Sus scrofa: one gene and its partners. The protein of the gene in region 1 interacts with the protein of each later gene in a pairwise test. Links are inferred from orthologs where the notes say so. Each region holds a gene or a part of one and is shown in the gene's direction. Other genes may lie near its edges.

Region 1 (5,254 bases):
CACACACACACACAAAGAAGCTCCTCTGGAGAGAGCCACGCCTGCCTCCTTGCTCTGAATGGCACAGAGAGTCTAGCAGAGGAGGCTTCTGACCGAGGGCTAGCTTGGGGCTCTAGGTGGGATGTGAAGGTCCCATGGAATCCCAGGTGGGTCAGAACTTAATGGGACTGAGAAAAGTAAGTTATTGGGGAGATATGAGATCAGAAAAGTACTTTGCTGGGGTTTGTTTGTCTGTTGTTTTTGTTTTGTTGTTGTTGTTGCATGTGTGGCATATGGAAGTTCCAGGGCCAGGAGTCAAACCCTCGTGGCACAGGGGAACTTCCAGGAAAAATACTTTGAAAAGTGAAAAGAGGAGTTCCTGTTGTGGCTCAGAGGGTTAAGAACCTGACTAATATCCATGAGGATGCAGGTTCAATCCATGGCTGCACTCAATGGGTTAAGGATCTGGCACAGGTTGCAGACATGCCTGGGATCTGGCGTTGCTGTGGCTGTGGTGTAGGCCAGTAGCGGGAGCTCTGATTCAACCCCTAGCCTGGGAATTTCCATATGCTGCAGGTGCTAAAAAGAAAAAAATAATAATAAAATATTTTTTTTTTTTTTTAAAAAGAAGAAAAGTGAAAAGAACTGGGAGAATGGGAGAAAGTCTTAGTTTCTGGATCTGGGCACAAAACACTAATGGAGGGAGAGGGAGATGGGGAAAGGAGTGGTTCAGCTTTGATGAACCTAAGTTTTGCAATCAGAAAATACAGAAGAAAGCTAGAATCTGGTGTTGCCCTGAGCTATGGTGTAGGTCGCAGATGTGGCCCGGATCCCCTGTTGCTGTGCCTGTGGCATAGGGTGGCAGCTGCAGCTCCGACTGGACTCCTAGCCTGGGAACTTCCATATGCTCAAAGAGCGGTCCTAAAAATAAGCATATTCTATAGACTGTTTGTTATATTTAACATCTGTCTTCTCTCACAAATACGAACTACCCGAGGGCAGAGATTTGGTCTGTATCATATGCTCTGCAGCCTGGCCCCTCATCAGTGCCCAGCACATAGTAGGCTCTCAATAGATAAGTATTGAATACATTCTTATAAATCCAAGAGAGCCCCCTTGCACGTCCGCAGTGTCCAGGCTCCCGGAAGCATTCAGGGTTCAAGGCAGCCAGAGTGACGGCATTGGGGGGGGGTCACAAGGAGCCCCCCAGAGAGCCCCAGGAGACGGTCCGGACTCTGTCGTGGTGACAGTAGGTTCACCTGGAACCAGGGCGGGAGGGTGAGTGACTGCCCCGTGGGGTCGAGGGGGCCCTTCTGGGCGAAGCTGCTGCGGAGTCGAGGGATTGGGGTGGGGGTGGGGTGGAGGAGGGGCCGTCACCCCTGCGCACCGTGCCTGGGGGGTATGTTTGGGGTATGTGTGAGCCGAAGACGCAAGATTATGAGAGGTCAGAAGCAGACAGACAGGGCGGCAGGGATGTCCTAAGAGGTGGAGAAAGGGCAGAGAGGGGGGAGAGGAGCGACACCTCCGCGTCCCGAGCGCTCCCGCAGGAGGGCTGCGGAAGAGGGTGCAGGGGCAGCGCTCTCGGCACCCGCCCGCCGCGCAGCCCCTCGGAGGAGGGCGCGGGCCTCGGAGCGGGGGGTGCGGACACCCGCCCCCAGACCCCCCTCCCCCTGCACCTCCTAAGCCGGCGGCTGCAGCCTCAGCAGCCGGGGCGCTTCCACCTGCGCAGACACGGCGCCGCCCTGCGCCGCGCTGCCATTGGTTCGCTAAAAATGCCTCTCTAATCTGCGCCCATCTGTGCACGCCTCCCGCCAGCCTCCCCCTCCTCCCTGGCTCTGACCTTCCTCCTTCCCGCAGCCCCAGCGAGATCTGGAGGGACGCGGCGGCGCAGCCTCTCTCCCCCGGGAAGAGGTCCGGGCTTGAGGCCGGGCCCGACACCCCGCTTTGCCCCGGGGCGCCGCGGATGGTGCGGGGCGCGCCTGCCCCCAGGTAGGGGGTCTGGCCCTTGGGTAGGAGGTGGGGAGGGAGGGCTCTCCTTCGCGAGTGCGTGTTTGCGGTGGGCGCACAGACGCGCATCTCTCCCCGCCAGAGCGCGAGGGAGCGTCGACCAGTTACCTGGGGAGAGGTGAGCGCCTGGGCCGGGGGGTGCTTTCAAGCGCCGGCTTCACGGGCATCACCCAGGCAGTGTCAGGATGTCCCTGCGCTGGGCCCTCTGCGAGAGGGAGCTGGCGTTTTCCCTGGGGAAAACGCAGGAAATAGGTTCCTTGGGGAGGTGGGACCCACGCCTGAAGTGGGGAGAGGGGGTGGGGGTCTGTCTCTGGCCTGGCTTGTTCCTGTACGGGAAGGGTAGGTGGGCTGGTGCCAGCCTGGTGCGTAGGCTATTTCTGGACCAGAGTGGGCTGGGGAGAAACACAGCAGCTGATGTGCGCCCTGTCTGGTTTACAATTAAAGCTATATGTATATTTTTTTTTTTAATTTTTTTCTGTTTCTCTACCCCTTCCCCCATTGCTGGGATGGGGCGGGGAGAGGAAAAGGAGGTGACTGATAAAAGGCCTGCAAATACAGCAGAAGCCACGGTCTGTCTGGCACTGCCCCCCCCACCCGCCCCCCGCCAGGCCACTTGCTGCCTGTTAGAACTCTCTCCTCCTTATTTTTGCCTTACAGGAGGCCCCGAAAAGATTAAAAGGTCGTCAGGATGGGAGGGACAGAGTGGCAAACCACAGAGCTTGGCTAGACCTAGCTTCAAGCCCCAGCTGCCCCCACCCTCCACCATCCAGCTCTGCACCCCACGTGCAGGGACACATGTGGCCGCTTTTCTCTGGGCGCCACCGTAAATAACTCACACTGCCCTGGCTTGGGCATAGCGGGGGTGCAAACAGGGCCGTCCCTGATTTTGGAGGTTCTATCCCTCACCACCTGGCTTTCCTATCACATGTCCATAAGCCATGCAGAAGCCACCCCCTCCAGGCTGCTTCCTGATTCCCCAGGTGAGAGAGATCCTTGCCTCCTGCCCTGGGTCCTCCTACCTAGCCTGCCCTGTGGCCTGGTTATTTGTGCCTTGTTGCCCACTAGACTGGAAGTGCTTTAGGGTGGGAATCTGTCTGATTCATCTGTCATCGTCCCTGCACCCCAGACCAGGGTCTGGCACCGAGTAAATGTTTGTGGAACAAGTGAATGAGTCAATTTGAACTCCAGGAAATAGCAGGCAACCTGAGGGAGGAGGGTGAGCCCCCTCCTGAACGTTCCTCCCACCCACCAGGACCAAAGTGCTACCTAAAGCAGACAGGCCCCTTTAGGCCCTTCCTGGTCCTGGAAGTGATGGGCAGCTGTGGCGTTTAGAGGCATCCCTGTAGTCCCAATGGCCCTGGAGAGTCTGGGGGCCTCCTGGTTCCAATCCCTGGCTGCCCCAGGCTTGGTGGAAGGCCCTGGGGAAGATCTGGCTCTGCTCAGTCCCCGGGGTTGGCCCTTTCCTCCAAGGGTGCCAACTCACACTGGGGGTCTCTACCTTTGGCCCAGCCCTGGGGAGAGTGCTGTCACCCCCAGCGAGTCAGAGACTGCCCAAGCCAGGCCACCCTCAGCCTCTGAGGTCCTCATGGTGAGTTCTGAACAGATCTTGGGATTGTGTGCAGAAGAGGAGGCGGCCAGCAAGGGATCTGGCCTGGCCACAAGGCTATGTCTGTGACATGGACGTTCCCAGAGCCGTCCCAGGCCTTGTTGTCCTTTGACAGCCATGCTGATAAGACTGCAAGGGGCTCTGTCCTCATCTCATGGAGGGGAGACGGAGGCCCAGACACGGCCGCCTGCAGCGCCAGGGCCGGCCCTCAGTTCCTGGCCCCAAGTCCTGTGCTCTCTCTGCTGGGCTTGAAGGAGCTGGGGCAAGACTTAAAGGTTCCTAGTGATGGAGAGAGTGCGGGAGCGATGCTTGCGGAGGAGGAAGTGGAGGATGGCTTACTTAGTGCCTGCAAGGGGCTGGCCCAGGGGGCCTTGCAGGGAGGGAGGCAGTAAAAACAGGAAAAACTAACAGGGCACAGCATCTGCCACGGGCTAGGTCCTCCGACTGCTTTTTTGTTTTGTTTTGGCTTTTTAGGGCTGCACTCGCAGCACACGGAAGTTCCCAGGTTAGGGGTCAGATTGGAGCTGCAGCTGCCAGCCTATACCACAGCCACAGCCACGCGCCACAGCCACAGCAACACAGGATCCAAGCTGCATCTGCGACCTACATCACAGCTCACCACAACCCCGGATCCTTAACCCACTGAAAGAGGCCAGGGATCAAACCAGCATCCTCATGGATCCTAGTTGGGTTAGTTAACCTTTGAGCCACGAAGGGAACTCCCTTTTCACATATTGACCCATTCAGTCTTCACCGCAGCCCAGCAAGGACGGTGCTGTTATTACCCCCATTTTACAAATGAAGAGACTGAGGCACTGCGAGGTTGTCTGTCCAAGGTCACACAGTTTGCAACTGGAGGAGCTAGGATTTGAACCTAGGCCCCAGAGTCCCTATTCCCTAATGCAGAGGGCTGTGGACCTTGCTGCTGGGGGCGTGTCTCTGTGGGGACAGAGGGGGCTCCATGGCTAAAGTCCATGCACGTGGGTCGTGTGTGCGTGATTAATAAGTGTGCCTCTGATGGTTGTGGATGCACAGAATAACAACAGCCATTTCAGCGAGGCTCCTTGAGGACCTACTGTGTGGCAGGCAGAGTGGTCTTTATAAGGCGCACATCTGAGTCTGCCCCGCCTCTGCTCTGCATCCTTTAGTGGCTCCCCATTGCCCTGAGGGCAGGCAAAGTGCAGCCTCCCAAATGTGGCCCTGCTGCCCTCCCCAAGCCTGGGCTTCCTCTCCCTTCTCATCCTCCCTCTGCCCCCAGTGGCCCTGAACTGCTTTCAGTTCCTCAAATAAATCACACTTCTCTCACCTAGCTGTTCCCCTGCCTCGAACACACTCCCTCCCCCGCTCCCCATTCCTTCTCACCCTCAGGGGTCTGCTGAGACCCTGCTTCCTTCCAGAAGCATCTACAAATTCCTCCTTGCCATACCTGGCTCACCTCACCTCACACCATATCCTCTCTGGCTTTTAATAATTGCTCCCCACCCACCAACCCGACTCCAGCTGTGGAATCCTTTGGGGCAGGGTCTGTGTCCTCTCCCAGGGTCCCCAGTGCCCGGCACAGGCTAGCCTAGCTCCTACTTGTGGAATGAGTTAGCAAATAGGTGTCCCCATCTGTATTTTCTTTCTTTCTTTTTTTTTTTTTTTGGTCTTTTTGTCTTTTTA
Region 2 (4,972 bases), on another chromosome or scaffold:
AAATAATTTCACAAGAGGATATTCTGCTTTTAGTTGAAAGACAGGTTTTTTTTTTTTTTCTTTTCACTTTTTAGGGCCACACCCATGTCACCTGGAGGTTCCCCGGCTAGGGGTCAGCCACAGCCACAGCCACGTGGGATCCAAACCGCATCTGCAACCTGCACCACAGCTCACGGCAACGCAGGGTCCTTAACCCACTGAGCAAGGCCAGGGATCGAACCTGCGTCCTTATGGATGCTAGTCAGATTCGTTAACCACTGAGGCACAGAGGGAACTCTGAAAGACAGTTTTCTGATGCAGCTTTTCTGAGCTTTCATGTCAATCAAAGAACTTGGTACTATAATGACAGATTAAAAAAAGGGCTGCCTTTTAGGAGAATAAACACAGGTTTCTAAGTTTGTTTGTTTGTTTTGAATTATTACTTTCACTTATATAGGAGGTACAGATCTCAATCTAAAAAAATTCAGGCTTGCAAGAAACATAATTTCATTTTTCCATAACTCAGCCTGATTTCTACAAGCTCCAATTTCACAAAGAGCGGCAGACACTTAATCATAGTCAATGTTGGCAGGAAATGCATCTAAATTGAGAAGACTTTTGTATGATTACTTTGTCAGAGGAAAGGGATGGGACATTTGATCTTTTCTCCTCCTCTACCATGCTGAGTCCCCTCAGATTTCCAATTTGTATGCTTCCTCATTGGCAGCTAGCACCCCAGATGGTTGCTGGGTTGATCTTGATCTGCCAGCAGGGTCCCTGGAGGCCTGGTGCCTTCTGCTGCCTCTGTACCCTTTTAGGTGCCTGGGGATCATCATATTGGGCTTCTAGAACCTCCACGTTACTATGGAATGTTGCACTGTCCATTCTGGTAGCTACCATATGCAGCTATTTAAATTTAAATTAATTAAAACTAAAGAATGTTAAAACTCCACTTCCTCATTTATGCTAGCCACCTTTCAAGTGCTCCATAGCCGCAGTGGCTAGAGGCCGCTGAGTTGGACAGCTATGTACAGAACATTTTGTTCATTCATCACAGAAAGTTGTATTGAATTGTGCTGCTCTGAGGTCTTGGCTAAACTAGACATATGGCCCAGGTTTTTCTTCTCTTTATGGTCTTGCCACCTCCCCAGGGCTCTAACAAGGAAAAATGATCTCTCTCAGCTCTCAGATCCCATAGATAGATTCCGCCATTTCAGTTGCCCTTCTCCAAGGCTTCTGCCAGAATCCAGTGAGAATGAGGGCAGTGAGTCCTGTTCTCTGGGGTTCACTAGAACCCAGCCTCTCATTACTTTTCACAAAGCTTCTTCTTCCCCTTCCAGTCCAGGAAATCCATTTCTCATCTCTGTGAAAGGAAGTCTTACCATTGTCTCTACCAGCACTGTCCAACAGGAAAATAAAGCAAGCCACATGTATAATTAAAATTTTCCAGGAGCCACATAAAAAAGTAAAGTACTGGCTGAAATTAATTTTTAATGTCTTTTTCTGGATCTAATAGATCTAAAATATTATTATTTCAACAGGTAATCAATATACAACTTTTTAATAAGATATATTTCCTTCATTTTTGCATACTGTCTTTGAAATTGGTATATATTTTATACCTACAACACATCTCAATTTGAACTAGCCACATGTCAAGTGTTCAGTAGTCACATGTGGCTAGAGGTTAGGATTGAACAGTACAAGCCTTTAACTGGATCCATTTCATTACTCCCTAAAGGACTAGGGTTTTGAAACTCAAAAACAAGGAAAAGTCCCTGCTTCTCTGCATTCTGTTCTACCGCTTTCCTGAAACAATGATCAAAGAGCAGCCTAACTGAGGGTGAGTGTGATGCTGAGGGTATCTTTGGGTGGGGTATAGGAGAAGAAAAGCCATAGGATAAAAAGAAGTAGCTGGGAAAAAACTACTACAAAAACCTCAATTAATATTTCAAAAGTATTAGCCTGCCGCAGTAAGTTTTTTAAGGATATAAACATTGCTGTGGGATTATCAGAGTAAAATTTGTTTGCTATGGATTTAAAAAAATAATTTCATTAGCAGTTAAAAATTGCAGTAATATTGTTGTGTATTGTATAGCTGCTATGGTAACTGGAAAACACAATACAAAAACCTGGTACTATTGTTGCAAGTAAATCTTATTATTATGACTAAGGCACAGATAAATTCTATTAGTAGTTAAATTCTGCAATAATACCTCTGACAATTATTACTGCAAAAACTGAAAAACCCAAGGACAAGAATTTTATTATTAGGAATGATAATAATTCAAGCCTGTGGTTGCCTTTCAGAGAGTAGAATCTCCATTTGGGGTGTTTCTGAAACAGTGACTAGCAAAGCTGCTTTATTGAAAATAATTTCTATCATTTCAAAGCTGTCACAACAGAGAAGATTTGAAGTTTTGGGGTGGCATTTTCCACTTATTTTTTTGTATTGTATCTTTACTGTAAGCCTGATGATATTTAAAGGCAAAATAGAAATCACTCTAAGTGTTGAATCTTCTGTTAAGTAAAAAATCTTTTGTAGTCAACACCTGGGTCAAATGGACCGGACAATTAAAGTAATTTGCATCCACAGGTCTCTCACATGCAGATTAAGCCTGGGTTGATAAATCAAGACAGCAGTAAACAGAGGATTAAAAAAGGGCAGAAGCATAGTGGGCAATTCCCCCTTGGAAGAAGGCAGGTAGTTAGGGGGAATGGAACCTTAAGAAGGTAACTTCTAGAATGCCATCTCTAAGGATATGTAGCATGGAAGGTGGTTGCAGGATTGAAGATAAGTGAATTCTTAGTAATGATTTTTTTAGCCTTTGTAAATTATTGCTGTTCCACTCTTGGTAATCACTGAGTTAATGGGAGACAATGTTAAAACAATTTGTTTTGAAATCCATTATTCCTTGAAGTAGGGATGTTTGGTAGCAATTAAATATTGCCCAAGTATTGTCGAAGTTCTATTTTTTGACCGTTTATTATTTGTTATCTTTTTATTGTATTTCCTACCAAACACAATGGTGTACATTATTAATAACCATTTATTAACTGTTTACTATGTGTCAGGCACTTCACATACTACTTTACATATGTATCTTCCATCTTCTCAACATCCCAGAAAAGTAAGCATGATTATTCGTTTGACAGAATATGAAGCTGGGACTCAGAGAGGTTAAGAAATCTGTTAGTTTCTTTCATGTATGCTGAACATCTGTTTCTAAAAACTCTCTGAGAACGGGGACTGTTATCTTTTTTTTTTTTTTTTTTTGTCTTTTGTCTTTTTGTCTGTTGTTGTTGTTGCTATTTCTTGGGCCGCTCCCGCGGCATATGGAGGTTCCCAGGCTAGGGGTCGAATTGGAGCTGTAGCCACCGGCCTACGCCAGAGCCACAGCAACGCGGGATCCGAGCCGCGTCTGCAACCTACACCACAGCTCACGGCAACGCCGGATCGTTAACCCACTGAGCAAGGGCAGGGACCGAACCCGCAACCTCATGGTTCCTAGTCGGATTCGTTAACCATTGCGCCACGACGGGAACTCCGGGGACTGTTATCTTTTACGCACAATTAATAGCATTTAATACGACCAATGCTCAGTTGGTGTTCAGTATCAGCTAAGTGGACCAAAAAATCTTGAACTATTCTGTATTTAAGGTTCTCCAATAAATTTATTTAGCAGACAGTTTATTTTAAAAAAAAGTTATGAGGGAAGAAGCGGCTGCTCTATATTGGACATCTAGGAGCCTGTGAACTTGAGCTCAGCAACAGGACAATGTCAAGGTCTGCTTTTAATTCCTTCGTTTCTAAACTTGATTTCTTCTTAGCTACCTTTGCAGCTAGGATGAACAAGAAGCATTTACATCCAAGAAAAATCCCCTAAAATGAATAACTGTCTTATAAGAAACTCTTTGCCAGTCTCTTGAAATTTTTCACAACTTGAGAAAGCTTCCCTGTAAACCTATACACTTCTTTTTTTCAAGGAAGGGAAAGAGTATTAAAAGAAACCAGGATAGATGTTCTCCTGTGGTGCAAAGGGTTAAGTATCCAGTGTTTTCACTGCAGCAGTCATCTGGGTTGCTCCTGTGGTGCAGGTTCTATCCCTGGCGGGGAACTTCCACATGTCACAGGTGTGGCAGCACACACACACACACACACACCCCAAACAAGATAACCACATGAGAAAGTTTGAGAACTTCTGAAGAACAATAATACTAGAAAGGATGCAAAGTCCTCCTAATTATCATGTGGGTTGTTCCTGAATGGCAAATTAGATTAAAATAGTTATGACCATTTCTATAAATTAGCCACTAAAGAAACCCTCATACACTTAAAATCTTTTAATGATGCAGAATATATCACTATATGAGATCATAATAGCTATAGGTTGTAGTGACTTAGTAAACTACTCAGGAAGGGCACCAGAGAACTCTTTGATTCCACAAAATAAGAATCAATATATTATGGTTATTTTAATATTTAAAAATTAAGACTATAGTAAAATAAGTGATATCTATGCCCATTTCTGTAAAATGTACATTGTGTTCTTGTGGTATTATTAGATCACTTTATTGCAAATGGAAATAGAATTAGATACTAGATTCAAGCCTTCTATATCTTCCCATCTCTCCTGATTATTCGGTATCTCTCCTTTTCTTGCCGCCCCATGTCTTCAGATGAGCTCAAGTTCTCCCCATCACTGCCCTCCTTCCAGTCCTTCCAAGAATACTGCCCTAGATCCTAACACCTTTCAAGCTACTTTGTCCATACTCCCTACTCTCTATCCTTAGTAAGATTATAAATGACCTTTGTTTCCAGGATCCAGCTTGCTTATTTTCTTTTCATATTTTAGCTTCCCTTTCTTTTTTCAAACTATTGCCCATTGCTTGTAGGGTGCTGCTACTTTTCTGACCATTCCCTCCTCAGTCTCTTTCTCGTTAACCTGGCTTCTTCCTCAAATGTTGGGATTCCTGCCAGATTTCATTCTTT
Region 3 (5,015 bases), on another chromosome or scaffold:
AAAAACAAAACTAAGGCAGGCTAAGAAATGCTGGACAACAAACCACTCCAGTATTTTAGTAGCTTAACCCAACACAAGTTTATTTCTTGCTTTATGCTAATTCTGTTGTAGATCCTGGGGCTCTCCAGGGCAGCTATGCCCAGTGTAATAGTACAGCATCCCAGGATCTTTCAGTCCTATGACACCTCCAGCTTAATGTAAATCTTTGTGATTGCAGCAGCAAGGGAAGAGAGCATGGAAAGTCAGGCACTGGCCCTTAAGGAATTCTACCAGGAAATGAAATATTTCGTGTCTGCTTACATTTACTTATCAAAACCAGTTACATCACCATACCTAATTTCAGTGGGGTGGAGAGTGTAATCCTCTTCCACACCTAAAACCAGGAGGAGGATAGGAAAAATTGGTAAGCATTCAAAAAGCCTCCAGCAATTATGAAATGTTATGGTAACATTTTATGTTTCAGATTAGACTAATGGAGTCAATAAAATTACTAGCATGTCATAAATTAAGGTTGAAACTAAAGTTTAATCTTCATTTGGTGACTGAAATTTATAGACTTTAGGTTTCACTATTACTCAATGTTTACATTATTGTCTGTGTGAGCAACTGTAAAAGCTAGTCATTTAGAGGTATAACTGGTTCATGAAATTGTTTGAAGACTAAAATCCAGATGGATTTAACTGAATTGACTAATATATTAAGTAAAATATTAAACAGCAACTTTTTCTGATATGACTCCAATATTGTAATCCAAATAAGCTACTTTTTCCCCTTTTCATATGTAGAAATACAATGAAAGGAATATATTATGCATAGGAAGGAATAAATAGTAATTACGGTCCATAAGAGACAAAAGGCACATTGGGTATTTAGTATGTTAGTTTCAGCAATCCTCTGGGTTGCCACAGTGGATATAACTTAAAGAGCCTTAGTCAAACTTTGGTTTAGTCAAATGTTGGTTCTAAGTATCAGTTTAACCCACCTACCAAACTTTATTCTATCAATAGGGTGAAGTGGTTAATACAGATGGGTTGTTTTTAACAGCGCAGCAGAAGCCTCCTAAAAGATGGTCTTTCGTCTAATCTCTCTACTGGTTTATTGAAGTATTTCCGTTTTAAAGTGTAAAGTTAATTTCTAATTTCAAGTTGTATTCCTGAATGTAAGCTTTTGGACCAATCAAAAATGGCTTGCACCTTACAACAACTGGCACACAAGATATGCAAATATACCTGTTTGTCAGGTGTAAAGGATCATCTAAAGGCCTTGCACGTGGGAAAACGTGCAGTTACACAATTGTGTCTGATTTCTTCCTGTAAAACTTTCGAGGTGAATAAAACCTATCATTTGAATCTTAGTTCATAGATTGTCACCAGATATACGTCCAGGCCTCACGTCACAGTTATTATAGGCTTAAAAATAAAAAAAAGAAAGAAAGAAAGAAAGAAAGAAAGAAAGAAAGAAAGAAAGAAAGAAAGAAATATGCCTCTGAAGACAAGGCAAGCTTAAACATGCCACCGCGTAGAAAAATCACAGTGTCACGGGTATGCTTTTAACAGAAGAGCAACTTTAGAAGTCAGGTTGGAAAAAAACAAAACAAAGCAAAAAAAACCCACCCTGGATGGGGGAAGGTGAGACTGGAAGGGAGGGCAAGCTGCCGGCCCGGTTCTTCGAGTTTCTCCCGGCACTTCCACGGCTCCTGGATCCTCCCCTCGGCTCCTTGCGGGGCAGGTACCCTCCCTTCCTCCCCACCTGTCCGGCCCAGGCGGGCCAAGCTTCCCAAAGCGACACCCTAGCGGTGGGAATGAGAACACACTGCGCAGGAGCCTCCTTTCCGTTCGGCTTCCCCAACTGGACCCCAAAGCCCTTAAGCCCCAGGGGAAGGAAATTACCACTCGGTCCTCGCCCACCCCCCACACTTTTCTCTCTCCGGCTCGCTGCTCGTTTCACTCCGATGCCGCCGAGCCCCGTCGCCACTTCTGAGTGGCCGACTGGCGGAGGCGGCTGCTGGCTCCCGGGCTCTGGTCAGGGAAATGGGGCAGGGTGAGTGAGCCGGCCCGGGGAGAGGCCAGGCGGCGCCGGCACCCGCCGGTGAGGTAGGGGATGCGAAGCTGCGGTCCGGTCCGCGCTGGACTGAGCCTCGGAGAGGCAGCCGCTCTCTCCTCAAGCCCTGGCTGGAGAGCCGAAAGCGAGCGCCGGGTCTAGAGGAGGGACATGTGGGAGAGGAAGCCGTGGGAGAGAACAGGGAGCTACTGTCTCCTTTTGAAAAGAAAGTAGGAGCCCTGGGTGGGAAAAGAGAAATGAGCCCTCCCAGCTTTTTCTTCGTGAAAAGCTTCCCCAGGGCGTTTTGTTTGTGCAAACTTGGCCGAGGGGGCCCGGAATCGCACTGCCGGCGTGGCGACGGCGGTGCCTGTGCGCCTCGCCCCTCGTCCCGTTCCTCCTCCTTCCAGCCCGGGCAGCTCCGCTCCCTCCCCGAGAGGCGCCGAATGGCTACCCAGTAACCCCAGGGGCGGGGGCTACTGCGCCGCCTCCCTCCGGCCGCTAGACCCAGCGGCGCGCCCACAGGCTGGGAGCCCGGCCCGCAGGTGGAAGCGCACCCGGGAGGCGGGCGGTCTAACCCAGGGCTCGGGCGACTCGGGCGGGCTCTTGACGCGCCGCCAACCCTGCTCAGGCCTCGGGAAGGCGTGCGTCCCGCCCTGACCCGCCGGCCTCTCCCACTACAGCAGTGACGCGCCGCCTCGGAGCCAGAGCCCGCGCAGCACCCAGCAGGGCGATGGACGGCGGAGTTCCGAGCGCGCAGGACGCCCTGGCGGCGCCTCAGCCGGCTGCCCCAGCAGGGTGAGTCTCCAAGGGCCGACCCGGGAGGGAGAGGACGAGGTTTGCCCGGGCTCCAACCAGTTACCTGGCTAGCAGCTCGCCACCCAGTCGGCGGCCTGATTCACCCGCAGTAGGACACGCGGCCAACGAGGCGGCTTCCTCCAGGCTTCCTCGGAGGCCGCCCGGGGACGGGGCTCGGGTAGTTTTTGATTGCTTTCCTACCGGGGCTTCTCTGAGTAGCTGAAGGGCAGCTGAATGCCAGGCATTGGGTAAGAAGTCCGGGAGCAAAATGGTAACAAAGGGCCCATTGTTGGGGCTGTGGGAGAGAGGCGGAGGATACCTGTAAGTGAACTCCTGGGAAGGGGAAAAAAGTTTTCTTGGCCAAGGGCTGAGGCCCAGCAGGTGAGCACTGTCAAGGTGACTGTAGGAAAGGGGCCTTCGGCGACCGGGTGGAGGGCGACAGGAAGGTGTGCCAGCTGTCAGTCCGCATGACAGTTCCGGGACGGGCAGGTTGCGCGCCTCGGATTGGGGGTGTGTGTGCCTCTAGCCAATTGCTGGTGCCAAAGCCTAGCGCAGAGTCAGACTGCAAACACGATACTTTTCTTTGTATTCGTACACGTTTAAGAGAGGTTGGAGGGGAAGGGGCTGTCACATGGTGAGTTAATATTAAATGGAGCACGTCTTCTTGCCAGATATGCTAATAATCACCTTGCTCTGTCTTTGGGTAAACAGTAACGAGAACAGGTAGTTCTGCAAGAGATGGGGAGCACCGGAAAATAACCTTCGTCTTGGTAAACAGTGAAAGTTTAACACAGGCGCTAGTTGAGCTTGTGAAGTGGGAAGCCCTTTTGTAGAAGTGTAACTTTTTCCTTCAAGTGTCTCCCCCCAGCTCAATTTCTTTTCTGATAGTTATTCTGAACACAGAAAAGCATCCAAGAGAATATGAACAGACACGCTAAGGAAGAATCGACTGTGTAACTAATGAATGAGAGTTGTATAGTTTTCCTCATTTAGGAGTAGAGAAATCATTTTCCCCTGGAACATGACATGCGTTTCCTTAGAAGCAAGTCACAGCATGTTTATTCATCAGAGACCATTTGAACATTGGCAGTTGTCTAGAGGAAACATGGAAAAGTCTCAAAGCAACATGACTAATATAAAAGATATTTAGTATAATGCTTACGTAGAGGAAACATGTAGTGTATGAATTAATTCTTTCATTTTTTTGTTTCAATTAGTTATCTTCTCCCCTTTGCAAATAGTCATATTTCTGTTGACTTCTGTTTCTAATCTTTCCCCAGTTTTTTTATTTAAATATTATCATATATTCTTTCATATATTGTCACGTTAGGATGTATGAGGAAAGAAATACATTGTCAGGAAGAAATTAATCATTAAAGCGTGGACCTCTCAATGGAGCTGCAGGAATACAGAAATGTACTCAGGTACCCCCCAAAAAAGATAGTATTAAATTTGTGGATTTGCAAATGGATTAGATGTTCAGAAATCAAATAATATTTGTGGGTAAAGTAGGTGAGATCGGATGGCTCTGAGATGAAAGAAATAGAACTTTCTAGTGTTAAGCACCACTGTAGCAAGATACTTCAGATTTTACTTGTGAGAATGTAAAAGTTAAATGGAAATTCTGTTTAAAAAAATGTACAAAATTGCTTTAGCTGATTTCTCAAATATGAGGAAAATACTTTTTAGGAGTTTTGCCCTGCCATCTCCAAATCTAAAGAAAGACCCGGAAGAATACTTCTGCATCTCATCTAAAATAAAACCCCTCACTATATCATTTTGCTTTGGATTATTCTATTCAGAGAAGTTAAAAATATCTGAAAGGTATAAACATTTTAAAAATTACTTCTTTGTCTTCTTTCATTTGTTTGTATTGTTCCTGGGCATATCCCAAGTGCCTATTATATAATACCTGTTGAATATTTAGTATTCAGTGTTGCCTTTTTTTCCCCTGAAAACCCCAAAACATTTTTTTAAAAAAGGTTTTAATTGTGGGAAGAAATTATCCTAGATATGTGAATTTGGGAGGTGGCAGGGAGCAATCCCAATCAGTATGTTATAATAAATTGTTATATCTGGAAAATAAATTCTCTACCCTAAAAGTAATTAAATCATGATTTGTTATTCTAATAGCCTATGAGGCCTTAACTATGGATATTACTGCTCTAAAGAATCCCTTT

What was found. The genes of interacting proteins can lie anywhere in the genome.
Region 2: the proteins of PACSIN1 (region 1) and EHBP1 interact in a two-hybrid assay, tested with the Homo sapiens proteins (2 studies listed by BioGRID and IntAct). The link is inferred for Sus scrofa from reciprocal best matches to the Homo sapiens genes PACSIN1 and EHBP1.
Region 3: the proteins of PACSIN1 (region 1) and COBLL1 interact in binary tests that used the Homo sapiens proteins (3 or more experiments, as listed by UniProt). The link is inferred for Sus scrofa from reciprocal best matches to the Homo sapiens genes PACSIN1 and COBLL1.

What each region holds. Positions count from the first base shown.
Region 1 is NC_010449.5:30,458,140-30,463,393, forward strand, and holds the start of PACSIN1 (protein kinase C and casein kinase substrate in neurons protein 1), read left to right. Parts: upstream 1-1,711; 5' UTR 1,712-1,968; intron 1,969-5,254. UniProt on the Homo sapiens protein: Plays a role in the reorganization of the microtubule cytoskeleton via its interaction with MAPT; this decreases microtubule stability and inhibits MAPT-induced microtubule polymerization.
Region 2 is NC_010445.4:79,258,610-79,263,581, reverse strand, and holds the start of EHBP1 (EH domain-binding protein 1), read left to right. Parts: upstream 1-1,691; 5' UTR 1,692-1,822; intron 1,823-4,972. UniProt on the Homo sapiens protein: May play a role in actin reorganization. Links clathrin-mediated endocytosis to the actin cytoskeleton. May act as Rab effector protein and play a role in vesicle trafficking.
Region 3 is NC_010457.5:71,495,005-71,500,019, reverse strand, and holds the start of COBLL1 (cordon-bleu protein-like 1), read left to right. Parts: upstream 1-1,734; 5' UTR 1,735-1,801; coding exon 1,802-2,040; intron 2,041-2,106; exon of another isoform or gene 2,107-2,211; coding exon of another isoform or gene 2,212-2,270; intron 2,271-2,542; exon of another isoform or gene 2,543-2,720; coding exon 2,721-2,835; intron 2,836-2,860; exon of another isoform or gene 2,861-4,227; coding exon of another isoform or gene 4,228-4,259; intron 4,260-5,015.